Linked DNA regions of Styela clava. The protein of the gene in region 1 purifies or fractionates together with the protein of each later gene. This does not show direct contact. Links are inferred from orthologs where the notes say so. Each region holds a gene or a part of one and is shown in the gene's direction. Other genes may lie near its edges. The genes, in order: F-actin-capping protein subunit beta-like, CCR4-NOT transcription complex subunit 11-like, CCR4-NOT transcription complex subunit 9 and serine/threonine-protein phosphatase PP1-beta catalytic subunit.

Region 1 (7,527 bases):
TAGAACTAATTGATTTTAATTGTAACGTTTTCTTGTGTTATTTTCTAACAAAACAATACCACGACCATTTTTATATATACCTAAAATCGTTACTTATAAATTCAACTATTACTGCAAAGAGACTTCCTAATACAACGAATGTCATTTTTCCAATGATAATACGGGAAGCACGTCGTAAACAAGTCAAGGTGCGGCGTTATAATTACAACTTCACGATTAGTTTTACGTTCTATTCTTGTTTACAATTTTTCATCCCCCGGGATGAAATGGAAATCTTATATTATCTTATACGCCCATGCCGGTTATGCTAATTTGTCTCAAAAACATTATTTGAATAGAAATATAACAGAAACAGATATTTTTCCTTTTCACGGTGCCAACATGACCATTCCATTGGTAAGAAAAACGACGTGAGCGAATCGTCCGTGTATTGCTTTCCGCCCCACTTCCTTCCCGTGGAGCAGAAAATAATATTGCTCTACGAAATCAGCAAAAAGACTAGAAAACATAAAAAAAGTTGTACCAGAAACTCAAAACTATCAAACTTGCACCAGTTGGTACTTGTCACACGTTTCCAGCTCTTGTCTACTCTGTAAATAAAATCAGCAGCAGCATTGATGCGCCCCTGTTTATGTGTCAATTTCATGAATTGAAAGATTGAATGATTCTTCAACCAAAAACGGTTTGAAACAAAGACAAAAATATAAATGTATGTATTTTTTAAATTTCCAGGTTATGTGTGTACTTTTTATATAAATCTTTTTGTCATCAAATTTGTCGTTACAGAACAAATATGATAACACATAGAGAGAAGGATAACGTATCAATGCAGCAAAAAGTGAAGGAATTACCAGGTAATATGACCAAAACTTGCAAGGAATTCGAAACGGTTGCTCACCTGACAAATAGGATATATCGGCGGTGTGGCGCATCGTGCTAAGCGTTAGGAATACGCTCGCATCTCTGATCACCCTTCGTAGGATCGCAGGTTCGAATCCCATGCGGGAATGATCATGTGCGAGAGGATTGCTGGACTCCTCGCCGCCGTAGGGTGGTTCACGTAACAGCTGGTCGGTTACGGCTTCATCCACCATCAAGTCCATGCTTCCGAGAACAAAATAGCTGGCTAACTAATCCCATACCCGACCTGGACTGGTAATCGGACGAGAGGCCGTGGTTCGCCATATGATTGAGCCGTCTTATCGGTTTTCCTTTCCCCTCCGGGATAAATATGTGAATCCTATCCTATATGACACATTAACGAAAAACTCCAAAATCAGTGTCTTTTGAGATTAGTATGAAGTTCCACATAATTGAAACAGAGTTGTTTAGAGCTTATTGCAATAGAGTTGTTATTTTCATTTTTATTCATCGTATCAACGCTTTTGAACAATTTATTACATTTAGAACTTTAGTTGATGGTTGTTGTGGACATAGCCGCTAAATTGGTGCGCTATTTAGAGAACTGGTTGTGCGCGAGTCTGTCAAGGACAGTTGAACGTCGTGGCTCAGTAAATAATATGACTCATCATTTACATCAAAAATTAAAAGCTCAATTTCTTCGATATAGCACGGGCGTACATTTTTCACGCTCTCTCACTCACGATTACCACTGTGCCCGCCTTCGTGAAGGAAGTTGTGGACAAGCATTGATGCGTAACTCTGTCGGCTTTCTGCGATGGGAGTGTTCCGGTTCTTGTTTGTCCAATCGCTCTCAGGCTGGCAGACGTGTACCGTACCGATGCAGTTTCGATTTTTGTCTTAGTGCTTTGGCTGTTGGGCGAGGGCGGCACGCGAATGGCTGTATTAAATAGAAATACTCATCGCCGTAAATTCACAATGTCTCACAATCAGAACCGCTGTTCTCCACCGTGGTTGGCAAAAATTAACCTTTTCCTGTTTATGATGCCAGCATGCCTGATCATTTGCTTGTCAATTTTTAAATTTATACTCCTATATTCAATAATGCTGTCCCACAGTAAGTGCGCCAAATACTTAAATAAGTTGGATATATCTCAAACCTATAATCATCGAACGAAGGTCATGCTAAAGTCAGAAAGTCAAATATAATTAGCTGTCATGAATCTCTGTATGAGGTAGTTGCCATTTTCATCGCAATGTGATTTATCGTATGGACTGAAAGTATGCTATAATGACTGCAAAATAACTTTTGATGGAAATGAAAAAGATATAGTCTGTTTTTGTTGGAGGAGAACAGAGAATATGATTTGTAATTTAATGCAGTAATGCCCTATCTGTGAATATATCTACACATTTCATATCAACCGAAAAGTGCATGTTTACCTTTGAAAATATCATATATTATTGGTGACATGGAATGAATAAATAAAATATATGAAACATTCTTTCAAGCGAAATTAGCGACATTATTGAATGAATCAAAGTATTGTGTGACAACCTCTTTCGAAGACTTAGAAATTGTTATGTAAATACCTAATTTCCGAATTTACTTTGTCAGCTATTCAATACCTAGCATACACATATTTCAGTATTTGCAATTGCAACATAGCACTCCCTGTTGAAATCGATAATAGTGCGCATACATAGTGCAGTAGTGTGTTGTATATTTTACTTATTTTGTCTCTTTCATTTTCTCCTATCATAAATACCCATTTACCAAACAATGGTGGAAATTGGAACAGTACGTAACTATTGCATCAGAAAATTGGAATATAAACATAATATATCAGTATGTCAAAATTTTTCTGTTACTGTTAATATCAGAATATGGAATTCCTAAACATTCAAATGGTAATATTATTGAGAAAGCCGATCCCTGATATACTGCAATCACTAATTAACTATCACGAGGGTGGTATAACACAATTGTGCCGATTTAATAATTGTATTACTAGGATTCAGTATTGTTTTGTAAAACCCTCAAAATCATGGAAAACAGTATAATGGCCTGTACTTCTTGTTTTATTTAACTGTGAATGGCAAAACCAAAGCGCTTTAAATGATAATCTCTCTGGTGGAAATATCTTATATTAATCCTGATATCGGGGATTCTGCCATATTGAATATAATTATTTAAATGGAACTAAATTATGAATGCAGGATTGGGAATTGGGATATATTTGAATAACATAACTGATCGGTTTAGAAGAAAATTGTCAAAATCTATTTTCTGATAAATAAATCAAAAATCTATAAATCAAAACATTTTCTGCATTTTTGTTTAAATTTAGTTTCAAGCATGTGGCAATATGGGAGATTTCAGTATGGCACAGTTTTCTGATTTTGAGATGTTCAGACATTTTTCACGAAAACAAGGGCATCCTGATGCATCGGTAGATCGTGTCATGCTTGTCTCAATAAAAATTTAAATCAATTACGACGTGTGTCGGCCATCACATGACCAAATTTCTCCACACTGCCGTTTTTTGTTAAAAAACTCTTGGATGCTACGGTTTTTCTTTTAGGTAAATAGGATTATTCGTGACATGTTTAGAATACGCTTTTTTTTAGTTTATTGCGCAGCTGCTGGTTCGCCGTTATGGAAGCCTAGACAGTCTCGTGTAGGAGGAGTTTGCACTCACTGTTATAAATGATATATTTTAATGTGGGTGCTATTCTTGGAATCAGAACTGTGCCATACTGGATTTAGTGTTTTACTATTAAAAATGGTACCTTGTAATGACTTCATTATAGGGGATGAATGACGAAAAACCAACTGTTATGTTTCTCGATAATCCAGCCAGTTCGTAGTAGACCAACCTCAATTTATCTAACATTGAGTGAACTGGAATATCTGTTTCAATATACCTCTGCAGCTACTGGCAACAATGCCGTTACAACTTTTGTGACATAACAATATAATAAAGCTTTTCATTCCTATCAACTTTCGCTGAATCTATTTCAGTTCTCTTTGCTCATGTTACATGATAGTGACTGCAGTAAGATTGCAAGCCAGCAAAAAAATAGGATTCTCTCTGAGTGGAATTCCATCTCAAACTTATTTAAAACCATGAATGAATTTGTCGTAGCACTGTTATCTCTTTTTGGTTCTTTATATGCACACAAGTCCATGTTTTTTAGCCATGAATTTCAGTACCAGAAATCGCTTCAGTCCTGCATGTGTAAAGTTCAAAACAAGCCAGAATTATAAATCTTGCGGAAAAGATGCCACAGCAATGTAGATGTAGATTGATTAAATCTGTTACCCGCATGCTTTTTCCCATGCTATAAATATAATGTAAGACCCACTGAGTAAAAATGGTTTGCCATTCCTGCTATGGGGCTGACTGTCAAAAGTTTATTATGGAAGTGATTTGATGAAGGCATTTGAAAAGTAGTTACCAAGTGTATGATTACTCATTTATTTTGATAAATTTGTATTATAAATAATGACTTTATAGTTAATTTTCAGTTTAAAGTAAAGTTCAGATGTGGAAGCTCACAAAAAGTCTATAAAAGTTATTTTGTGAAACAGTACCGGTAATTTTAATATGATTATTAAAATATTCTTTTGTCTGAAATATACAGGTTTGTGTATTTATAATAGGCATATTATAGGTTTATTACTTCCCAAAGAAGTGTTCTACATCGGTGTTTCAGTCTTGTGACAAAAAGAAAAATGGTGAGTAAGGGTTACGAAGATGATTTATCCAGTTTGCCATCAGGCATCAACTTTCTTCTCTGCAAATGGAACAATAATTGATACAATGGTTCTACAACCTTTTTGTGGTCTAGTATTTGAGGGGTCAGATTATCTATCTGAAATAATAACATTTATTTATTTGTCTATCTATTTATTTATGTATCTGAAATATTTATATTCAATACAATAATGACGTCAAAATTTTTTTTTTTTGTACATTAACGATTACTCAGAGTAATCGATGACAAATTATTGAAAACGCCATAAAACTCCCAAGATAGTTAAATGATATATTGTCCAGGCCACATGCCAAATTTCACCCTGTAAATAATAAAAGTTGTTAATAACGATTTATACGTTTTTACACAGCCAATTTAAAAACTAGTGTATATACCTAGTCCGCTAATAACAAAATTTGTGTCTACGTTTTTGTCAGATTTGTATTTCTAATTATTATTATTTTATGGTTTTCTCAGATGTCATGAAGTAGAATTGGAGTATTTAATAGTGAGCCTACATCCATGTGTCAATAATCTTCTTATTTTACAGACGGAGCAGCAGTTGGACTGTGCGCTCGATTTGATGAGAAGGTTACCTCCTCAACAGGTTGAGAAAAATTTGTCAGACCTCATTGACCTTGTTCCAGAGTTATGTGAAGACCTCCTGTCCTCCGTTGATCAACCGCTCAAAATAGCTCGAGATAAGCACAGTGGAAAGGATTATCTTCTTTGTGATTATAATCGTGATGGTGATTCTTACAGGTTAGTTGTATGGACCTTTCATCACACGTTGTAATCAGTTTAATAAGATCCTTTAAAACTTCTTTAAATCTTGCCTCTGGTGTCGTCTTTGCTTTTGTGAGTTAGATTATTGTCATTCAAATACATGTTTATTATAACAGAGATTCTATTTTGAATACAACTTTGTCACTATTATTGTTTCACTTTTTGTCATCTTTTCTCTGAATCAAACATTAAACCATCTTTCATTTGAGCTTAGTTATATATATTGCATAAAGTTAAATCCTATTGCTAATGCTCAGAAGAATCTGAATATTTGGGAGCATTGAAAATTAGAGATATTTGTTATAGTGAATTATTACGTATGAGCTTTTTTCTCTGTTGACATTACTCAAATTAGAATTTATTTGATAATACAAATATAAAATTTATTTTCAATTTGAAATGTATTTGATTTAGACTAGTGGGCGATTTGGGCCATAGTCGATTCCTATTAGTTTTTACATTCCTAATCATCATAATATTTTTATTATTGTTTTTTATATCTTTAATAATATTGTTGTGTCTTTGATAATAAGGAAAACAAATAGTCTGTTTTTTTCTCCGGCTAATATGGATATCCATAAACAGAGAAAGATGGCATGTTTATCGCCTTCCACCATATAATTAATGGCTTAGGGATGGATCATCATTATGAATATGACAATCCTATTTTAAGTAGATCGAGAACTATATTTATCCTATTATGTCACTGCTAATTTTATTGCAGGTCGCCATGGAGTAACAAATATGATCCACCCATAGAAGATGGTGCTGAACCTTCAGATAGATTACGCAAATTAGAAGTTGAAGCCAATTCTGCATTTGATTCCTATAGGGAAATGTAAGTATAAATACAGGGCTGGCCGGACAGTGGAGGATATTCTTTGATTCAATTTAAATCTTCCATGATTGCATGGCAGCAATAAATATTACTGCTTATATTGCTGAAGCTTTGAATCGACTCAAATTAAAGAACTCTATATTATTCCCATAAGCGATTAGGTATTTGGCACCAATATTATTGCTCATATTGTTGAAGCTTTGAGTCGACTCAAATTGAAGAATTCTACAGTAAATACCTCATTAATTTATTAAATATTTCATAACTTAGTTTGTGTGCGCTGGCCTGGTATTTTTTAAATACCTGATGCTTATGAATCTATATTTTATATGAATCGTGTTATTGATGTCATCGATTTTAATATTCGAACCAGGGATGTTGTCCAAAACGAATCGAATATTCAAACACATTCGAAATTTATTATATTCGATATAGCGAATTTTCAAATTTAGGAATGAATTAGAACAAATCAAAACATACAATATGTCAACTGGCAGGAAACAACACAGAGAAACCAATGCTCTTTATGTTTGTGCCAGATGTGATCAACATGAAGATATAGTGATTTATGTAATTTTTTACGTGAACTCGCCCCCAATTCAGAATGTATTCGATATTCTATATTCGAATATATTTTCTCAGTATGTATTCAAAAATGTGAATTCGAAAATTCAATTTTGGCCATTTTTTTTTTACGTTCATAGGTATTATGAAGGTGGTGTATCATCTGTGTACCTCTGGGATCTTGATCATGGTTTTGCTGGTGCAGTCCTTATTAAGAAGGCTGGTGATAACACGAAGAAAGTCAAAGGCTGCTGGGACTCATTACACATTGTGGAAGTTCTTGTAAGCATGTTTTAAGATATTCTTTTTTTTTGATTACTTTAGAGATAATGTTAGAGTAACTACTCAAAAAATAATGTTAGTAACTATTCCAGAGTAAGTTTTTGTAAGCATGTTCTAAGATATATATATTTTTTTATTATATGAGAAATAATGTTATAGTACGGTAACTATTCCAGAAATATTGTTAGAGAATCGTACATTTGGCTGAATTAGGACTTCACTTACAGAAAATTCATTGAAATGGTTGGTATATTGTTTATATCAGTCTTATCAGATGTATTCGTTTTGTTATATGAGGCTCTTACATAAATACAGCCACACAGGTACTTATTTGAATTTGGATATTCTCAAACCCTGTTACTTATTAAACTCTGGTTTGCTAGATTATCGTCGTATGAGTGTGTTTCTGTTTATGTGATGGATGTTATTAACAG
Region 2 (7,246 bases), on another chromosome or scaffold:
ACATATGATGAATGCACATGCAAAATCTGGAGAAGATTCAATCTCGCTTTCGTGAGATATCGCGTGCATCTATCAGACAAACAGACAGACAAATACCTATCAACATACTTACCGATTAAAATCGATAAGTAATAAGGTGAAAAAAACAGTAGATAACAGTGGGAGGTAGGCTACTGTGGGTTGGTAGTTGCAGCGTTACTAATGCTTTCTACAGAAATAAAATCATAACTGAATTATTAATATTATTTTAATTTTTTTAGATGAACTTCTCTTATTGGACACGAAAGATTGTACTTTTCGCTAAAAGGCGAAGTCGTGAAGACTACGATAACGTTAATATACTCTGACAGATGGCATACTCGTACAACTCGTTTTGTCTTTCGTGTTCATATATTTGAAAATCGCTCTCTTGTTTTATATATTGACTTTTTTCACACATATCAGTTGTGTATAACGAAGGCTCCAATACCTTGATCGATGGGCCTTGAAAATTTTTAGAAGTCTCAAATGTGGATTCAATAACATTCAACACCTGCAAAATGTAGTACATAATGAGAAGCACTAGAACTAGATGATCATTTTTTATTCTATTCTACAATATAGTCGTAAACAGTCACAGTCGAATCTTTGTGACTAAGAGTATGATTGTTGCAATCATTTTAGACAAAATGTTCCCACTCATAACATTTCAGTATATTAGGAAAAAATAATATATATATAATTACACAACGATGAGACATGGGAAAAGGGCTTTGAATTGCAAAGGTGAGGATAACTATGTTACTATTGTCATACCCAACAAGGACTGGTAACCGGACGAGAGGCCGTGGTTCGCCCTAGGATTATGCCTCCCCATCGACTTTCCTCTAACCCCTGGATGAATATGAAAATCACCATTATCTCGTTTTCGTGGTCTGGCAAGCTATTTGTCAATTTTAGTTGCGTTTCCGCCATTTCGGTTCCGACAATTGCATAACCCTATAGTATTCTCATCTCCTGAGAAGTTTCAGTCCAGTGTCAGCAATAAACATTGGTCTCAAGAATGCTTACATAGATTAGACTAAAATTAGCTAACAGTGCTTTAAAATGGCAAGTGGTTGAATATTATGAATCATGTACACCGGTTTGTTTATGCCTATTCGCGAAAAACATAGGATAAGCAACAAAAATGAAATATTTTTCATGTGCCAAGTGTCGGATGTTTCCCGGAATGCCAAATTCCTTGTTTATTTTTATAACATGAGCTAACCAACAAGAGTCATTGTCAATTTTTTTTTTTATCAGTTTGAAAAATAAATAAAAGTCAACACACATTTTTACTGGGGAAGGGAGGCCGCGGGTAACCAAACTGGTTATCGAGCAGCGACACCCAATGCCCAACATGACGTAACAGTTGAAATTTTAGCAGCCGGTCAGACACTTTTCACTCAGACAGATTTTCTGGAATGTCTGCAAACATTCTGACCACAATGGGACAATTCTAGGACAATGTTCTGCATTTTCTCAATTTTGACATTAGCTCGTGTTATCGTTTTGCTAGCTATTTGTCAGTGTTTAGTTAGGTATAAATCAAATAACCATTTCAAACAAAACTATTTAAACATTCCCGAAACATATGCAATAGACAATGAAATCAATTACAAAATGCAGGTAGTAAAATATATGAATCAAAATGATGGTTATGAAGCATATAAATAGTTAGAAAGAGTTACTCCTGATGACAATGTCAAAATAAGCATAAAATGGTAGTTTAGTAGGCTACAGGTAGAATTTTACTTGGGCCACGGATCGGAGAAATATCCATCCCGTGGCGTCCGTAGGTTTATACTGGTCGAGAATTATTTTTCGGGAATCACTAAATTTCAGGATAGGATAAGAGCGGACTCGGTGGTCTATGCCTCGGCGAACGTTGGGACGCTGTCAATACTAAAATCCGTATCTCGACTTCTAGTGCTATTTTCTGCATAGAAATAATAGAAACCCCTAATCAAATTTTCTCGCCTTTCCGCGATTTTCCACCGTTCCCTCCAGAATTGGCAGAAAGACTATGAAATCTGTTTTAGGTATTCGTATTCATTCTAGATACCTCAATGCAGACTTCCTAATTTTCAATTCATTTCCGCATTGTTCATTACTGCATAATTTTAACGAAAGATCCTGCTTTTTAGTCGGCTCGGCTTACCCTTCCACCGTTATAACTATGTAAATCAACACAATATACGACAACGAAATTTTATTTCGATCTTTCGTAGGTGCTCCCGTAGTATGTGAACCAAGATGGCGGACACTAGAACGTAGAATGTGTACCAGATTAGGGTTAGGCCTGAATTTTATTCCAATTTCCCTTAGTTTTATTACGAGTTCGGGAACTAGCCAAGTGACTCCCGTAGTATTTGTACCTGAAATTATGGCCTAACTCTAACCTGGTACACATATTACGTTCCGGTGTCCGCCATCTTGGTTCACATACTACGGAAGTAGCCTTTCGTCTACAACACAGAACACGAATAAAAAAAAACAGACATGGGAGACGGAAAGATCGGGAAAATGAAAACACCTAGAAAAGGTCGAAAGCGAACGCCGTAACCAGCGTTTGTGCCCATTCATCCACACTCGCACAAATGGAAAAACACACCACGACAATCATCCCCCAAAAACATGCACAAAACAAATAATGAACACAAAACATAAACACACAGAATGATGGAAAATCGGGAAAACAGGCAAAACCTCAATCTAGTAAGGTTTAAAACACGTAGATTCGCATGTGCCTGTTTACACATGTTACACTCACAAACATATTATGAAAAAGATAAAAACACGAACGTGTTATTGTTCGGGCGTCTAACTTGTGTAACAAACAAATTGCAGATGCGGTGGGTTCCAATATAAATCTGTTTAGGTCGAGACGGACATGATTGGGATGTGTTTATATAAATGTTATATGCAATGTAGTTTTATATAAAATGCTGAAAATGCCTGGTCACTTCTTTTCCTTAGTTCTATGCGAAGCAAGTATGTGAAATTGGAATGGCAGCTAGCCGGTACAGCAATGCCAAAGTAGTTTATTTTTTTTTTTCAAATCCTGTTCTTTCGTTATCCATCATGCCTGTGCCTGTGTCGAAATGCGAATCCCAATAATAACATTCAAGTGATCAGCTGCTGTTTTATTGGTAAACAAACAAAGATAAGAAGTAAATACCGTAGCTGACAAATGGTTAGCTAACCCTATGGTTGTGTGTGCGAGTGTGAATGATTTGATTCAATAGTTTTAGGTGAGTGAACGCGTACCACTTCTTTTTGGCAATACCTTCCATCTTATATTCTGTACGTTTTAAATTTTGTCCAAGGTTTTGTTTGCTCTCCTGATTTCATAATCAGTTTGTATTCATTTGTTTTTATCAGCCATTTTATCGTCTTTTTGCTGATTATGGAATCGAAATAAACTTATCTTATCTGTCTAACATAAAAACTCGAAAACTGGTTTCGAGCGTTGTTTTGTTTCTTGTGTAACAAAATTGGTTCAAATTTAGAAAGTTTCCATTTGAAAATTTGTAATCCTAGGCAACCCTATCCTATGCAGGTGTATATTACACGTTGCTCACGCTTTCTAGTGTAATACCCCACATACACTCAAAAAGTTTATTTGCCGCTCCTCTATTTTAGGGAATTTGCCCGTTGTTCCCGTATTTTAGTACAGGCAGTTTTCTGTAATTCCCGATTTTTGGTGCATTTCGCATTCGGTAGCCCGCAGGGTAGACACCAAAGTGACTATAACACTTTAGTAGGTACTAGGTACCGTACCGGTATTAACGTATTGTGTGGGCGATCTTAGCTGTGCATTTCGAGGAAATTTTTTATTTTATTTAAAGCTAATTCTCGAACTAGACTAGGCCAACGACTAACGAACTAGACTGATCCGGTACCGTACGATCAGTAACTAACGTACGGTACTTCTAGTGGACGTAGCATAACAATTTTTTGATATCTCAATCCTAATCCCCATCTGATTACGCTATCCAAAAATTACGTCACTACGACATCACAATCACGTCATAGAGCTTGCCAAATATACGTACAATCGCCCAATTGGTATTGGCGCCGGCGATAAAGAACTGACTGACGTTATCGATCTCTCTCTTATCGGAATCGTTGCGACGAGAAAACGAGGGAAATAACTGCTCGATTTCTGGTGCTCGTTTGCGCGTCTTGGATGGGAGTTCGTATAGTTTGAAGGGCTGTATTACGTCACTGTGATGTCGTGTTGACGTAATTTTTGGATGGTGTAGTCAGTTGGGGGTCAGGATTGATACGTGAAAAAACACTGATGGAATGGACATATGAAAAATGAATATTGGATTATTTATCTTATGATTGCTCGAATGGTTATATACCGGTACTTTTTGTTATAATTTATTATATTATCCCATTAAAAAAAAAAAATGTCATGCTACGCCCACTAGAAGTATGTTAGGTACGAAACTACATCAGACCCCGGTAAGTTTAGGTTGACTATTTCAATTTTTCGTTATTTTGTTACCGTACCGGTAGAACATTGAGGGAGAAGAGAAATGAAGTTAGCTTTTACTATGTGGGAGAGTAGAAGTAACAAGATTTCAAATAAACTGAAAAGATTTACCGATACAACAGTAGCTAAAAATGAATTCTGGTGGGTCTGCAGGTTTTCATTGTCACAACTGCACAATCTCGTATTACTGTATTACAGTCAACTCTTTTAAATTTTTGTCAACTCTTTATTATACTGTTTTCGAATGGTTAAATTTGCTTCCTAACTGTTTTGTCAAATCTTTACAAATATTGTAAACATATTGCATTTGTTAATACTGTAATATCCGAATATATCTAAATTAAATATTGGGTGTTAGCAATTTTGTGTGTTCTGTCATTGAAAATTGTCACCACTGGCATGTCTCTGCTTCTTAATCAATCTTGATTGCGGGCATGTCTTGAATCAGAACACTGGTCAGTTGTAATCAGCTAATACATTCCAGAATAATATGTATTGCTCAATAGGATATTTTTAAATACAAAATCTTCAGTTTCTAAATACAGAAATATGGTATAATCATATAAACTCACTTTTGTGATTACTTGGCATAGAGCTTGTTTTGATTTATTTTTTTCACAATTACCAGAAGTTGAATGAGTCTGAATATCTGATGTCAATCATAAAGAAAAAAACAAGATTATTTCGTAATGATAATAGGCTAGTACTTTATAATATACTTCTAAAATTTAAATATCAGGGACAATCCCTTTGGGTAGAGTTGGTGCTGAACCAGAGGTTGGTAAAATAATACAAATGGTTTTCACTCTTTGGGAGAAATAAGCTTGTATTTTTTCATTCCATGGTCTGATGCAGCAGTAAGTTGATGCTCAATATGTGTTTTCTCTAGATTTGACAAAAACCTAACTTTAGATTTGACAAAAACATAACTCGAAGGGTCTCCAAGAGAAAACAATGTCACTGACCACAAAAGAAATAGGACATGTCATGAACCTGCTACGGGAGGATACAGTTAGCACAACCACTTTTGACAGCCTCGGTTCTGCATTACAACGTCTTGGATTCAACAAGCATGATCATTTTCGGGTTGGATCATCTATTGTTCTGTTACTACAAAATCGAGATCTACTTCCTGGTCCAAATCAGCGACTTGCCGCAATATATTTGCTTTATGATATGTACAAAGCGGAACCAGTTGCTTCAAACCCTTTTGCTACAGTTTTCGTACACTTGCTGCAAAACACACAAAATTTGACAATTTCTCATGAAATACCTGCAATGGGCAAACTCCCTCCATTGTCAAGTTCTGAAAAAGCATTTTTGTCGCAGCTGATATCATTACCAAATAAGGACTTAGTTAAACGTACACCTAAGCAAGTATTGTTTTCAGAGGGTGAAAATACTTCTCACCCACAAAAATCTGTTTATGATGTTAGCGGTTTGCAACTTTCTTTAGTGGAGCGGCAATCCCAACTGCCAGTGCTAAACAAAACTGGTATACCTTGTGTGATGCCCCACCCTGAACCTCCCAATATGCAAAAAGCCGATCCGCCATCGGATTCAAAGCCTGTTCAGCAACAGGTCCTTGAAAGTTTGTTATCTGGTAAATCAGCACCAATGACAGAAAACATAAGACCAACCTTTGTGCGACCCATTCCACTTTTACATCCTCCAGATAATGAATTGGTCTGGATGAACCCAACTCTGCCTGCACGTCATAAATTCCTCTGGGACAGTCAAATGACAAAAAATACAAACAAAGCAGGTGAAGTAAGAAAATTGATGACAAAAGCGTTTAAAAATCCTTTAACGAATGGTCAACAACAACAACTTCTTGCGCAATTAAACGATGATTCCAAGTTGGTCTATCATGTGGGTTTGACTCCAGCCAAACTACCAGACTTGGTTGAAAACAATCCACTTGTTGCCATTGAGGTTCTGTTGATGTTAATGCAATCTAGCCAAATAACGGAATATTTTTCAGTTCTTGTGAACATGGAGATGTCTCTACATTCAATGGAAGTCGTTAACAGACTAACCACAGCAGTGGAATTGCCAACTGAATTTATTCATTTATATATTTCTAATTGCATATCAACATGTGAAACGATTAAGGATAAATACATGCAAAACAGATTAGTTCGCTTAGTCTGTGTATTTCTGCAATCACTGATACGGAATCGCATTATAAATGTCAAAGACTTGTTCATAGAAGTGCAAGCATTTTGTATAGAGTTTAGTCGCATAAGAGAAGCGGCTGGACTATTTCGCTTGCTGAAGCAATTGGACACTGCAGAAGCAGAGGCTGCTAAAAAATAATGTTTTACATATGAAATCAATATAAAATTTTCAGTGATGCCACGTCATCAAATAAACAATCAGAATTGTGCAAGTATGTTTATGTACTTATATCGATACAGAGAAGGGTCTAAGTCAGGGGTGGGCAATTACTTTCCCGAGTGGGCCGGATGCGGAAAATAGACTTGATTACTGGGACGGATGATCAAAAATGTTTATTTGCAAATACCTAGATACAACGATTAATGTGACTTCATTACAAGGGGGCTGGCAAATTACGGCAGCTGCGCAGCGAAATTTGATAGAAAAAGAAGCTCAAGCTCAACAGCTACGCTAACGTTAAAATACAGCACAATGTAACAATTGGGGTCATTATGACGCCAATTGATAAATAGGTTTTTGAAAGAGAGTAAATGATGC
Region 3 (7,312 bases), about 1.1 Mb from region 1:
AATTCAGAAATTGGCATAAATCAATTATTCCATAAATATCATTGAATCCCATCAAAAATAAACGTTAAAATGAAGTCTTTCGCTATTTTTAAATGTATGAACAAATGTATTTACATACGTAAGAATGTTATATTACTTAATTGAGATTATACTTCAGTATTTGGAATCCACATATATTACACTGCACTATTTGTCTATGAAATATTTTGCACCTTTAAAATCAACCTCCCAACAATTCAGACCTGTGGATAGTAGCCTATTAGACTATGTACCTACCATATGGTACAGTATACTATTACTACCTATATTATATAGCATAGCCTATTTACCAAAATATTATATCACAATATTAACAGTTGACATTGTATTTCTCAAACGTTACCGTACAGTAACATTTTTAAAAGACACAAAGATAATATCCTACGCTAGGTAGCAAAACACTTGAGTGATACGATATCACTGTATTATCAACATTACCGTAACATACGGCCATATACCTACAACAGATACGGTACAAAGAAAATGATTTTCAATCTAGTAACTAGTATCACTATCTTCTAACTAGTCTGACAATGTTTTAATACGGCGCCATATTAGGTATTATTTAAGATAATGTTCTTTTAATACGAATATTACCAAAAAGAAAAAGAATCGAGAATAAATTGAAAACACGCGACTTTTCTCTTTTTTTTTTTTTTTTTTTAATTGGTTCACTCATTGAGTGATTTCAATAAATATGTAAAAAATAAATAAACAAATAAAATAAATTATAGTCCACATTCCATTCATGATCCATTTGTTAAATTGAGTTTCACAGTATTTCCAGTTTGTTTCATCAGTAATAAGTATCCAACGATAATAATGTTTTTTTAATAATTACAATGATATAATACAATATAAAAGGAAATACACAAAATTAGTAAATACAAAAAACTTATTATAAACCTGATTTAATATCTAAATTAATGCTTTACATAAATTTTGTAATTCTTTTTCAAAGGGTTTGTCTACTCTGGAATTTTCTATATTTTTTCTATACATTAGGGCCATTTTTATCTGTTTTTTAAGGAGAGCAATGTCAGGTGTTTTATTTTCAAATATTATAGAATTTCTCATTATCCAAATTTTATATCGCACTATTGATAATAAAAGAATAATTGCATTCAAATCTAATGCTGTTATATGACTAAATAAAGGATCATTAAAATTCAATAATATACAAGAATCATAATTTATAACAAAATTTATTCTAATTAATTTTAATATAATTAAGGAAACAAATTCATCATAAATTTTCTGAGTAAACTTACAAAACATAAAAATATGTGACACAAACTCAGGTTCTATATTACATAATAAACATAATTCATTTCCTGCTACTCTTTTGATCTCTGGTTTTGTTTTCAAGGGTAGAATATCCCATATTAACTTATAGTTGAAGGTCCTCATATAATTTGCCAAAATTTTATTATGAATACTGTTACAAGTTATACTGAGATTTGAATTACGGATAATTACAAGTCTTTCCCCATTAATACTTTTTAAAACTTTATCATATATAATTCTATGTTCACCCATTTTAATATCATTCATATTTAAACTATAAGTTTTCATAAAATTAATTACGCTTTTATAATATTCACGCGACTTTTCTCGCACGAATGTCCTACAGGAGATAAAACGCCAAGGTGGTATGTCGTATTTCAACCCTTGCCTGACACCCCGTGATGTCGACTATCTTATCCAACTACTGTACCAGCATTATCGGTTGCGCATTGGTTGCGATATAGTCTAATACCAAATAATTGAGAAATAAAGTAAATACGTAAAATGAAGGTTAAAAATAGATAAAATAATAATATAAATCATTACATACAGATGAGACAGTATAAATTTCATAATAAATATTGATCATTTGTATCCATATTGTAGCATATCCGTTGTAAATCCCATTTGTTGTCATCATCAATTATATGTTCCATGATGCCATTTACCATTATTTTAATTAATGCACGGAAAAGAAAATTTTAAGAATTAGTTCCACTTCATTACGATAAACACTTCTAGTCATATTTATATATATTTGCATAATAAATCAAGTTCTTCACAATAATTAGGTAAATTTCTCAGTCGTTCTATATTTCTCCTACACTTTATTGAATTTCTTATATTATTGACTACATTATTCACTCTTGGCATTACATTTTCAAAAATCACTGCATTTCTTTGCAGCCAAATTTTATATCTTGCAGTACATATCAATAAAATAATAGCATTTTTTTCTATATTGGTCAAATGTACATAATTGTTGATAGATAAATAGAATAACCACAGTTTACTCGAATACGGGGTATATATTTATAAAATTTAGTCGTTGGAGGTCGCTTCTCGAAGATGAAGTCAAATGTCTACGGTTGCCACTTGTCAGATCATTCAGAAGCCTAAGTTAAATAAAACGATTAAAATGTAAATTATATAAAAATATAGCTGATATAAAATTGCTGATTGGATTAAATGTGGATAAACTCAACTCCTGGGGGCATATAATGGAATATTTTAACTTGAAGACATCATGGTACCGGTAATGGTACCGGTATGAATTTGCATTTGTTTGGATTTTTATTATAGCCCATTATTCAAATGTATTTGGGGGGGGGGGGGGGGGGATTAAATTGCCAAATTCCCAAAATATAATAGTCTAATTCGATTCTAAAATCTCAATACAAAAGTTCCGTTTGGCATTGGAATATATTTGGCACAAAAGAAAGAAAGCCTGCCTAAAATAAACTCTGAAGGCACAGAAGATGTGTTTGTTCCAATACTTGGATGAATACTGGAATATGGAAATCTATCTTCAATTAAACGTTGACAGGCCGGCAAAAAGGCCTGTAGTTAGTAGGATAGAGAGAGTGAATTTATTGCTTTTTATCAAACCAGAAAAACAAAACGATCATATAGTCTACAAAATAAGAATTCAGAGTTTCGATATACGAATGGGAGGTAACTGGACTAGGCGAATATGTTTTTTTCTTAAAAAACCTTCGACGGATGGCAGAAATCATATAAATATGCATATTTTCAGTGGCGCAGCCAGGGGTGGTGTTAACGATCAACTCTCTTTCAAAATTTTTGGAAGGCCGGAAAAGTCAAATAATAACACATTTGATTGCATTTTTGCTAAAATCGCCGATTGTTTTTGTCAGCGTGATACCGGAAGTCATTTCTGTATTTAGGCCGTAAAACTCCTTTAGGTTCTGTGTTTATTCTCCCTAAATCACATATTTCCCTCAACATGAGTATGTCTTGTGCCACGACAATGATGATAATTACCTTTTCTTGTAACCTCACAGAATTGAGAATCAGTGAGCGTTAATATAAATTCACCGGCGTCGAGATATTAATCGCGTGTAATCGCGTCGACCGTTTCAGAAGGGAATAGGATTTTTGATTTTGAACCCCCTTAAAACCCTTAATTAAAAATTCTGGCTGAGCCCCTGTATATATATATATATATAAACGAAATGCAACATAATAAACTATGATAATGACATAACAATTAGCGGTATCTAGAAAAAAAGGTAAAGCAAAGTGTTAAACTATTTCACTTGAGTTCGGTGGGCTACATCAAATCGTTACCCCCATGAGCCGAGTTTTGGGAACCACTGGATTATAATCATTTTAATGTTTTCCAATAAATGGCAAGAATATTAGTGTAATTACTAATTGTGTTACTATAGTATGACTATTCAAAATATACTTTTCAGTGGGAATATTTGTTTTTGTGTATGAAAATTATCGCAAAAAAATTCTGTCAGCTCAAATTTCCATGATATTTTGCTAGCTTCACAGAAATCCATTCCGATTCTATTTTATCATCATTATTTTTTTACTACAATGTGTACTTTATGGTATTCGGGAGTAAATCATTATATATCTTTGTTAACTTTTTACAGTATTAACATAAGAAAAGCATTATGTATTACACTTTTTATGTTTCGGGCTATTTTCTTCTGTTTTGTGTAAATTCTTCGTTTTAGTGTGGTGTTCATCTGTTTTGTGCTGTAAAAAGATTAACTCCAGCAGATTAACTCATGCAGCTCAAAACTAGCTACTCGTAAAAGTCTATCCTCCCAAAGCAAAGGTTATTACTTATCGATCTTAAGATCGGTAAGTATATTGATAGGTATTTGTCTGTGTGTATGTCTGTGTGTCTGTTAGATGCACGCGATATCTCACGAAAGCGAGATTGAATCTGCTCCAGATTTTGCATGTGCATTCATCTTATCTCGGACCAGAATCCTATTGATTTTGGGCGAATTATGTCGTATAATTAGCGAGTTATCAATCAAATATTGATATAGTGATCTAGATTTTTGTAAAGCGAGAGAATTTTGAAACCCGCCGAGTGTGTGTGTGCGGTGCGCAAGTTACAAGAGCGGATGAATCGAAACTGCAGTTTCTGTTTTGGGGGATCCCCTAACTATCGATCGATAAGTCTTCGGTTTCCAACCGATATTCTCGTTTTATTCATTACATGGATTGACCTATTTGGATAATTAAGATACAAAGGCTTATTTAAGATTTGGTGTAGAAAAAAAAGGCTCCTCCGCCAGTGTCTGTCACATTTTTAGGATGCAAGTGACTGAATAACATATTCTGATGTTTATGAACCGCGATGTCTCCCAATTCCTTTTTTTTTACATCCATCAAATATTTGAAAACTGAAATTGTTTTATTCTACTTTATCGATATAGCTCAATTAACAGAGAATTTTATAAATACAATTCTGATAATTACAATAATGGCTGCTGCTGGACCTATGCATATTTCGGGTGTTAATGCGGGTGCAATTCCTGTAGTAGAGAGGGAAAGCATTTACCGATGGATCAATGAACTATCAAGTCCGGATACGAGAGAGTCTGCTCTTTTGGAGCTGAGCAAGAAACGAGAAACAGTACCTGACCTTGCACCGATGCTTTGGCATTCTTTTGGGACAATAGCAGCATTGTTGCAGGAGATTGTCAATATTTATCCTTCTATCAATCCACCGACGCTGACAGCCCATCAATCAAATCGTGTATGCAATGCCTTAGCATTGCTTCAATGTGTTGCTTCACACCCAGAGACACGAACTGCTTTTTTAACCGCTCACATTCCATTATTTCTTTACCCTTTTCTGCATACTACAAGTAAAACTCGACCATTCGAGTATCTTCGATTAACGAGTCTTGGCGTTATCGGAGCGCTTGTGAAAACTGATGAACAAGAAGTTATTACATTCTTGCTAACAACTGAAATCATACCGCTCTGCTTGAGAATCATGGAGTCTGGGAGCGAATTGTCAAAAACTGTAGCGACTTTTATTCTTCAGAAAATTTTATTAGATGATACTGGTCTTCAATACATTTGTCAAACATATGAGCGCTTTTCACACGTTGCCATGATACTTGGAAAAATGGTTATGTCTCTTTCAAAAGAACCATCTGCACGTTTGTTGAAGCATGTCGTCCGGTGTTATCTTCGACTTTCTGATAATGCTCGTGCAAAAGAAGCTTTGCGTCAGTGCCTTCCAGATCAACTCAAAGATACCACATTTCTTACAGTTCTGAAAGATGACAACACAACAAAAAGGTGGTTGACACAGTTAATTAAAAATCTCCAAGAATCTGGTATCCCAGACCAGAGAGTGATAACAATGCCGCAGTAGCGAATTCAAAATACTAGAACAAATATATTTGAATTGATATCAAGAACTGATATAATATTCCAAAAAATCATACAATAAATGAGTAAATTATTTTTTATTAATAGTGAACCCACATTGAGTTGTATTATAAATATTTAGATTTTTCTCACCATTGTCTTTGCATTTTTCACATGTTCACAAGTCACAACTGGATAAAATTTTAATTATTTTCATTTTTTTAATATTTTCAATCTCTATCCACCTTACTACATAACGGTAGCCATAACCGATATGATGTTTGCTAATCTGGTTGACTTGATATTACCATGAAAATTGCTTAATATGTCTTTTTACACCTATACATGAAACAATTGTTAATATCATATCATTTTTGAATACCCAATATCCTAAATAAGTTTGATGTGAGCTTGTTACTTCTTGGATATCGGTCATAGCAACGCTTTTTTGTATATTTTCTGAACGCACATTGTTAGATATTCCAGTTGCTTTTCTCTGGTATAATTCCCTTTTACTCCCGATATAAACTTGCTATGAGTAAATTCAGTTTAAAGTATTTGGGTCAAATCCATTATGCCCATCTCAAGATCACTGATGCAGATTTACATTTTCAAATTTGTACTGGGCATGGAAAGAATAAAAAGTAGAAATTCAATCCAACTTGATTAACCTCGATTTTGAGCTTCGGGGTCAAATAAAATTTGTCTATATGTCATCAAATGATGAAATTGTCAGGAATAAATACCCTGTAACATTTTTTGTAATAAATCCAATTTTTATTTGCACTATTTTGCAAATTCATTGGTTAGCAATAATCACGAGTCGTGACAATATTTTCTTTTGAATACTTTTGTAGTTGACAAGTATCTTATTGAGCCAATAATCATTACAGTTTTTCTATCTGCAGCTTTCATTTGGCTTATGACAGTGGTATGATGCCGGTCTTTCATTTTGTTGTGAATAGGAATAAATATTGCTTTGTGCCTTGTGTTGAAATTTGATAAAAATGATAATGTTTAGTATGTAATTTGACTATTATTATTTTATTGGTTCTTTATATTAAATAATTGTTATTTTTTTGCCAGATCTAATGTATGTATGTTTATCTCTTGCAAAAAAATTGTTTAAATAATCAAACCATGGAATTTGATCGGCTTGCTATTATGCGAGTATTCCAGGGTGCTTGGGTGTCATTCAGCTCCGGTGACCTGAATAAAACAAAAGAAGCGCTCCAGTCTTTGTTTAATCCAACAAGTGATGTACTTTCTTCTCATGTAGAATTTTTCTCGCATTGCAAAGATTTAAAAAGCAACAAATCTATTGCTCTCTTCACTGCAAAGAATTTAGACGAGTGGTACACAGACCAGACAAAACATGGAAAACTTCCTTGTGTGGTGAACATGGAGTTAAAGCTTGCGATAATGCCAGTAATTGTTGTTGCCCATTCAGCAACTTCAAGCATTCTTATTAAAGTGTTTGAATTAAATAAACCGCCAAATGAATTCTTAAAGCCTTTTATTGACGATTTATTAGCTCAAGAAAAGATAAAAGAAGCCATTTCAGTGGTGATTAAACTCAATATGCAAGATCATTTCACTCTCACTGATA
Region 4 (7,194 bases), on another chromosome or scaffold:
CTCATCAAAATAAACAAATATAGTAGGCTACAAGTGCTACAACGCTTGCATTACTGCACTGGTAGGACCGTGAAAGAATAAGTTACGGTAATTTCATTGTGGTAAGACACCGGTACCGGCACCAGTACCAGTATCGTACTTACGTACTGAGCTACCAGTACCGGTTAGCAGTCAGCCAGCATCTTACCTGTACACTGTAGGCCATATACGGTAATTGATCACAGAACAGTTGTTCCCTTGGCAAATTTTATGTTGTTTACACTTTAGGACAGATAATTGATCACAGAACAATTCTTCCCTTTCAAATTTTATGTTGTTTCCAGTAGACTCTCATCAAAATAAACAAATATAGTAGGCTACAAGTGCTACAACGCTTGCATTACTGCACTGGTAGGACCGTGAAAGAATAAGTTACGGTAATTTCATTGTGGTAAGACACCGGTACCGGCACCAGTACCAGTATCGTACTTACGTACTGAGCTACCAGTACCGGTACCGAACCTGTAGGTCTGATATTCCGTTCCGCATACGATAGGCTATAAAACTTGCATTGCAGCATTAGTAATACCGCGGAAGGAATAAGTCAATTTCACTGCGTTACGGTACCTGTATGGCAATTTACCAGTACCGACCTACAGTAGCTGTAGTACTGAGCAAGACAATCGATCGCGAAACCGCTTGAAATAAGTGTAAAACAGTGTTCCATGAGTAAAAATAAATACCGCGAAATTTTGTATGAAATTTCATATCTCATAGGATTCATATGAAATTTAAGAATAAACAAAAGTAATAGCCTTCTAGCGAAAAAATTAATCTTTAACCACTGAAAATTTCAAAGCAATTGGTCCAGTATTCGAAGAGAAAAGCTACTTTTTAAAAACGTGTCAAAGAACAAGAACAACAACAACATAATATTGAAACGATCGTTATGTCCACTACGTGTCCAAAAATGAATTGGGTTGTGAAAAAGTGAGAATACGAGTGATAACAAGAGAGCAACGCTCAAATATATGGACACGTGGACTAGAGCGAAGCAGGGTTTACCTTTGACGTTACCGGTACTGTACCCTCAAAAAGTTCCGGATTTTCAGTCGCAAGAATTTTCACAGTCAGCCGTCACGCTTGGCGGATTAAAAACCGTGTTCCCATAATTAAAAATAAATACAGCGCAATTTTGGATGAAATATTAGATCTCATAAGATTCATAGAAAATTCAGGAATAAATGAAAGTAATAGCCTTCTGGCAAAAAAATCAATCTTGAACCACTGAAAATTCCAAAGCAATTGGACCAGTATTCGAAGAGAAAGGCGATTTTTTAATGATAATGACGAAAGAAAATAACAACAAGATAGCTATGCTCAAATATATGGACACGTAGCGCCCCCTAAGGGCAATAATTCTGATGACGTCATTGCAGAAAAAAAAAGTAATAGCCTTCTGAAGAAAATTTTTATCTTCAACCACTGAAAATTTCAAAGCAATTGGTCCAGTAATCAAAGAGAAAAGCGACTTATTAAAAACGTGTCAAATAACAAGAACAACAACAACATAATATTGAAACGATCGCTATGTCCACTACGTGTCCAATAACAACAAAATTTTGAAACGATCGTTATGGCCACTAAACGTGTCCAATAATAAAAGCATAACGTGGAAGGGCGAGCAAAACCGAAGCGCGTGATCGGCGGTGCGTTTGAAGACCACGTATTACCCATGCGGCCGCGCGACTTTTACAACAATGTGAGGTGTTGCGAAGACGCTTTCGTTTGCTTTAAATTTGTAACTATTAACCATTTGTTCGTGTTCAAATATCGCACTCTTCATGACTAGAAAATGTTCGTGTTTTGTGATAGGTGTGCCACGAAAATTGAAAGAGCTAACTAGTGTGCCACGATTTAAAAAACAAGAGAGCTACGCACAAATATATGGACACGTTAGACCAGAGCGAATCAGTCCTTACCGGTACCTTTGACGCTACCGGTACCCTCAAAAAAGTTCTGAATTTCCAGTAGCAAGAATTTTGCAGAATCAAAACGTACAGCCAGTCATGACACTGACTAAAATCCGTGTTCCCATGGATAAAAAATAATACAGCAAAATTTTAGACGAAATATCAAATTTCATAGAATTCACGCAAAATTTTGAAATAAATAAAAGTAATAGCCTTCTAGCGAAAAAATTAATCTTTAACCACTGAAAATTTCAAAGCAATTGGTCCAGTATTCGAAAAGAAAAGCGACTTTTTAAAAACGTGTCAAAGAACAACAACAACATAATATTGAAACGATCGTTATGGCCACTAAACGTGTCCAAAAAGGTTGGGAACCATTTACTTACATTTTTTTTCAATTTACATATACTTAGTTCGACTTTTTCTTCTTTATAATATAGTATTAGTCTTATTTTATGGGCGCCGGTGCTCAATAACCAGTACTGGTTTCCCGCGTCTCCTTCACCCTGAAATATGACCTATTTATAATTTATTGCAATTTGTATGTTTGTGCCTATTTTGAAGTATGGTGAAAAATAAACTACTTACTGATAGATGCTTTAATATTTCCGCGCCGATATTACATGAAATAAATACGTAATTTTATTGTCATGCAAGTTGTTTCGATCTTTTACTTGAACCCGAAAAATCCCGGGATTATACGGCTCAATCCCGGAATATCCCGATACCGGGATTTCAAAAACTGGTCCCGAAATGCTAACCCTAATTTATACCCTATTCACATCAGAACCTGGGAGATGAACGTGCCATAAACTGCCTATTGTACATATCATCATGGTGCAGTACCTCTTTGTCCTGTGTATTGTACAAGAGTTTTATTTGTATATTCATGTCTGTTGTCCTACTATACCGGTAACGCAGCAAAATTCGGCTGTTGCTCTGATGCCTCTTGAACTTTCGTCCGAGAATTTGATTTATACCTGCTCGCTGTTCATATTTATTTTCAGCTAATCGAAATAATTCCGATGCGAGAGATCGCTGGCGTTTGTACCGTACGGTACCCCTATTTGTTTAAGTGGATGCGGACGCCATAACGCAAAAAGCTCTATATATATCATGTCGTCACGTTGACGTAATGTTTGGATTACATCATCAGATGGGGCCAGGAATGACATATGTAGAAATTGTTTAGCCACACCCTCTAAAAGTATTACACTGGACGTACGTGAGACCCACAGACTTTTCGGTCACAAAACGTTACTGGTACCGGTACCGTTACCGGTACTACCGTATGGTTCGTTCTTCAATCGCCTTGGGAGTTGCGAAAACGAGAAGAACGGTACGTGCCTACCGTACCTACCCACAACTGCATAACGATACAAATTACAGAATCATGATGTAACTTTAGCTCTAAGTTGAATAATGCAAAATAATTTCAGTTCTATACGGTAACATTCGGTGACTGGCTTGATACAGTGATACCGGTACCGTACCGATACCACACTTCTTGAACAGTGAATGTTGCTTTTCTATTTATTCTTCCTCAAATCTGTATGTGGCAATACAGCAATATCTGAATATGCAGAATAAATATATATTTTCTAGAATTACGATTTTGATCAGATCAGCAGATAGTCTACCTACAAACCTACTGACCTATTAAACCTATTACAGTATTACCAGTATCAGATTTGTTTCTACAAATACAGCTGAATACTGGAATAGTGAATACCAGTATTTCACTGTTTTGTAACAGTAGTCTACACCTGCAGAAGCTTCAAACCAGCCATGTTGAAATAAATCACATATTCGAGTACATGTAAACTAGTTATACTGTACTTCATACTGCTGTACTGTCATACAATATATTTATTCAAAAAATTCACCATTACAAGCATTTGATATCAAGATGGTTAGACCTAATCCGGCATGTAGGCTATATAATATAAAGTCTATCTGAGCAATGTTTGCCTTAACTATACTGCAATGCGAAATTCAATCTTCATGGATTCACCCTGATTTATTCGAAAAATAAATTCAATTTTATGCATTTTTGCTCCGAACATTTTTAAAGTCAGAAAGTGCTAAACTGTTTTGTATACTTTGAGTTTAATTTTTTGCCAAACATTCATCGACAGCATGTTCCTAAAACTTGCAGTGTGGTGCCATCTTTTTTTTTAAAAATCATTCACACTCTTGTGTCATCCAGAATCAATTGGCGCAACTAACGATTTATGATTTATTTTGAATTTTCATTCTAGTCTATCATCTAGTTATTGATTTTAAAATATTTAAAGAACATGGCAGACAGTGAACTAGATGTTGATGGATTAATAAAACGCCTTCTTGATGGTTAGTACTAACTTTTTAATTTCAATTCCAAGATATGATTAACTTCTCTAACCAAATAGGCTATCACCGGCGTGGCAGTGTCAGAGTGTGGCTCATCGTGATAAGCGTTAGTAATACGCTCGACCACTGCACCTCTGATTACTCCTCGTGGGTTTCTCAGGTTCAACATGCATGGATGGTCATGTGCGAGAGGATTGCTGGACTCCTCGCCGCCGTAGGGTGGTTCACGTAACCGCTGGTCGGTTATGGCTTCCTCCACCATCAAGTCCATGCTTGCAAAAAATAACTGACTAATCCCATCCCCGACATTGAATGGTAACCGGACGAGAGGCCGTGGTTTGTCATATGGTTAAGCCGTCTTATCGGCTTCCCTCTCCCCCAGGATAAATATGTAAATCCTATCCTATTATCTTTTTTTCATTTATTAATAAAATATGGGTTTATGCAGAAGAAACTGTCATATAGCCTTATATCACCTTCTGACCTTACTGCAAGATCTTTAATGCTAATCTTACTTTGAAAGCATTTCGTAAACACCATTCTCTATATTTCAGTTCGTGGGGGCAGACCGGGGAGAACAGTACAAATGACAGAAGCAGAAATTAAAGGTCTTTGTATCAAATCAAGAGAAATATTTTTAAGTCAACCTATTCTTTTGGAGTTGGAAGCACCATTGAAAATATGTGGTGAGATAAAATCATGATCTTGAATTTAGTTTTCCTAATTTAAGTATGTGATTTTATTGAGAAATTCAATCAAGTTCAACTGAAGTTAAGAGCTAGGACAATACAATATGGCACAGTTCTCCGATTCTAACATAACTCACATATTGAAAGATATCGATCGATTACAGTTGAGTGCAAACCCATACCCCTCCTTTACGAGACAGTCTGGGCCTCTATATAGGCAAAAATTAGCAATTCGGAACTGTGCAATAAAACTAAAAGGAAGAGCAATCTAAAAACACCACCATCGCATTTCTCAGAAAAAATAATCCGATCCGGTTTGTTTTATAGAAACAAATGTCGGAAAATCGTGGAATCTGAGAACTTTCCCTACTGCAACAGCTCAAATGAATTTCCTTGACAAATATAATACAGAAAATAATATTGTCTATAATGTCACAAGAATATTCTTTTCTTAGTCCAACTGTACAAATTGATAGACCAATCTTTAATCGAAGAATTTAATAAATAGAATGTAAATATGATGATCATACCTGATTCATTATACGAATGTTTCATTAATATTAGGAGACATCCACGGACAGTATACAGATCTATTACGTTTATTCGAGTATGGTGATTTTCCGCCTGATTCTAATTACCTTTTCCTCGGTGATTATGTGGATCGAGGAAAACAATCTCTAGAATGTATTTGTTTGTTATTGGCATACAAGATCAAATATCCTGAAAACTTTTTTCTACTTCGAGGGAATCATGAATGTGCCAGCATCAATCGTATATATGGATTTCATGATGAATGTAAGTAGGAGCATATATCAGTTTGATATTCTAGAATTTCACTGTACAATTTTTGATTTACGAAAAGTGTAGACACCAAAAGTCTGATAGGGTGGTTGTATGCCTTTATGTTGGAATGTAAATTTGAATTTTTTTATTGTGCAGTATGTTCATTAATCATTAGTCTCAATTTCTAAGAATATTATCACTTTTAATTTGATTAATCATAACACTACAGTATGACACTATCTATGTTGATTCGTGGTATTGATTACAGTAAACATTGATTTAACAATGGGGGAAACCATTGAATAGGAGTAAATTATATTTTCTCTGTGTATTAATTAAGCAAGGAAATTACGGCATATAGAATATGCTGTATATCAAAAGTAACCTTTAATAAATGATAGGAACTAATTACTGTTGTCACAGATAGACTAAACTTTGATAAGAAGGAATCTTACTTTTGATAAATGGGCAAAATAAAGTCAAATTTTGTGTGTGCAATGTTTTGCGACTCTGAATCCAGTTTGGACCGGTGATATTTGTTACTGCAATTTTATTTGGGAAATTGTTAATGAATTTGTTGATTTTTTTTTTACATATTTATTTTAATAAAAATTAATTACCAAGTATACTAGTATGGATGTAATTTTAATATTTGTTTTTCCATATTATCATTAATAATACAATATTCTTCTTCATAAATTGGATAAAAAAAATTGTTAACAATTTGAGTACCAGTAAGTCAGTAACTTGCGATAAGTGATAGATGTTACACGGTTTTCTAAATTCTTCAAACAGTTTTTATAATAATATACTATACCTATATAGATTGTACAGTTTATACGAAACCGAAAACACCATTTGCAGTTATAGTTCTTTGTAGCTCGATGACAATGGAAGTCATCCCATTTTATTGCATTATGTGCTTCTTCCTTGGTTCACTATTTATTTTGATATTTATGTTTTAATTTTCTGCAAGTTCTCACACCTTAATTGACATGCTGAAACTAACTACTTATTTAATAAATTTCTCAGTCACAAATTATTCTACTTTGTCATAATAATTAAGTCATATTTTCTTCAAGCCACGATATCTAACACATACTTTGCCGGCATAATTATTACTGTTGTACAAGACATTTCATTAACCTCATTTACCTCAGGATTAGATATCAAATTTTGGTGCGTGCTCTTTTTAAATCACTCGTTAACACAAGCACTAAATAAGGCCATTATGGTAAAGGAATCCTGTTAATAAGATAGAATTTGCTTGCCTTCTTTTCTCGCATAGCCTGTAAACTCTTTCTTATGTTGTTCTATTCAGAAAAAATTCAATCATGCGATATAAAGGTTGCATCACGTTTTATAAATGTTATAATGTAAAGCATTAATTGCGTGTAATGTCAACTAAAACTTTATTA

Evidence for each region.
Region 2: the proteins of F-actin-capping protein subunit beta-like (region 1) and CCR4-NOT transcription complex subunit 11-like purify together in Homo sapiens (co-immunoprecipitation; 3 studies listed by BioGRID and IntAct, with this or other methods). This does not show direct contact. The link is inferred for Styela clava from reciprocal best matches to the Homo sapiens genes CAPZB and CNOT11.
Region 3: the proteins of F-actin-capping protein subunit beta-like (region 1) and CCR4-NOT transcription complex subunit 9 purify together in Homo sapiens (co-immunoprecipitation; 3 studies listed by BioGRID and IntAct, with this or other methods). This does not show direct contact. The link is inferred for Styela clava from reciprocal best matches to the Homo sapiens genes CAPZB and CNOT9.
Region 4: the proteins of F-actin-capping protein subunit beta-like (region 1) and serine/threonine-protein phosphatase PP1-beta catalytic subunit purify together in Homo sapiens (affinity purification with mass spectrometry; 3 studies listed by BioGRID and IntAct, with this or other methods). This does not show direct contact. The link is inferred for Styela clava from reciprocal best matches to the Homo sapiens genes CAPZB and PPP1CB.

Annotation. Positions count from the first base shown.
Region 1 is NC_135256.1:14,405,058-14,412,584, forward strand, and holds the start of F-actin-capping protein subunit beta-like, read left to right. Parts: upstream 1-4,502; 5' UTR 4,503-4,600; coding exon 4,601-4,603; intron 4,604-5,173; coding exon 5,174-5,385; intron 5,386-6,133; coding exon 6,134-6,247; intron 6,248-6,951; coding exon 6,952-7,093; intron 7,094-7,527. UniProt on the Homo sapiens protein: F-actin-capping proteins bind in a Ca(2+)-independent manner to the fast growing ends of actin filaments (barbed end) thereby blocking the exchange of subunits at these ends.
Region 2 is NC_135260.1:20,403,989-20,411,234, forward strand, and holds CCR4-NOT transcription complex subunit 11-like, read left to right. Parts: upstream 1-4,234; 5' UTR 4,235-4,497; intron 4,498-5,417; 5' UTR 5,418-5,482; coding exon 5,483-6,847; 3' UTR 6,848-6,923; downstream 6,924-7,246. UniProt on the Homo sapiens protein: Component of the CCR4-NOT complex which is one of the major cellular mRNA deadenylases and is linked to various cellular processes including bulk mRNA degradation, miRNA-mediated repression, translational repression during translational initiation and general transcription regulation.
Region 3 is NC_135256.1:13,256,445-13,263,756, reverse strand, and holds CCR4-NOT transcription complex subunit 9, read left to right. Parts: upstream 1-4,733; 5' UTR 4,734-4,801; coding exon 4,802-5,707; 3' UTR 5,708-6,790; downstream 6,791-7,312. Other genes in the region: exonuclease mut-7 homolog, read left to right, coding at 6,799-7,312. UniProt on the Homo sapiens protein: Component of the CCR4-NOT complex which is one of the major cellular mRNA deadenylases and is linked to various cellular processes including bulk mRNA degradation, miRNA-mediated repression, translational repression during translational initiation and general transcription regulation.
Region 4 is NC_135250.1:14,154,884-14,162,077, reverse strand, and holds the start of serine/threonine-protein phosphatase PP1-beta catalytic subunit, read left to right. Parts: upstream 1-4,178; 5' UTR 4,179-4,252; coding exon 4,253-4,304; intron 4,305-4,858; coding exon 4,859-4,990; intron 4,991-5,557; coding exon 5,558-5,788; intron 5,789-7,194. UniProt on the Homo sapiens protein: Protein phosphatase that associates with over 200 regulatory proteins to form highly specific holoenzymes which dephosphorylate hundreds of biological targets.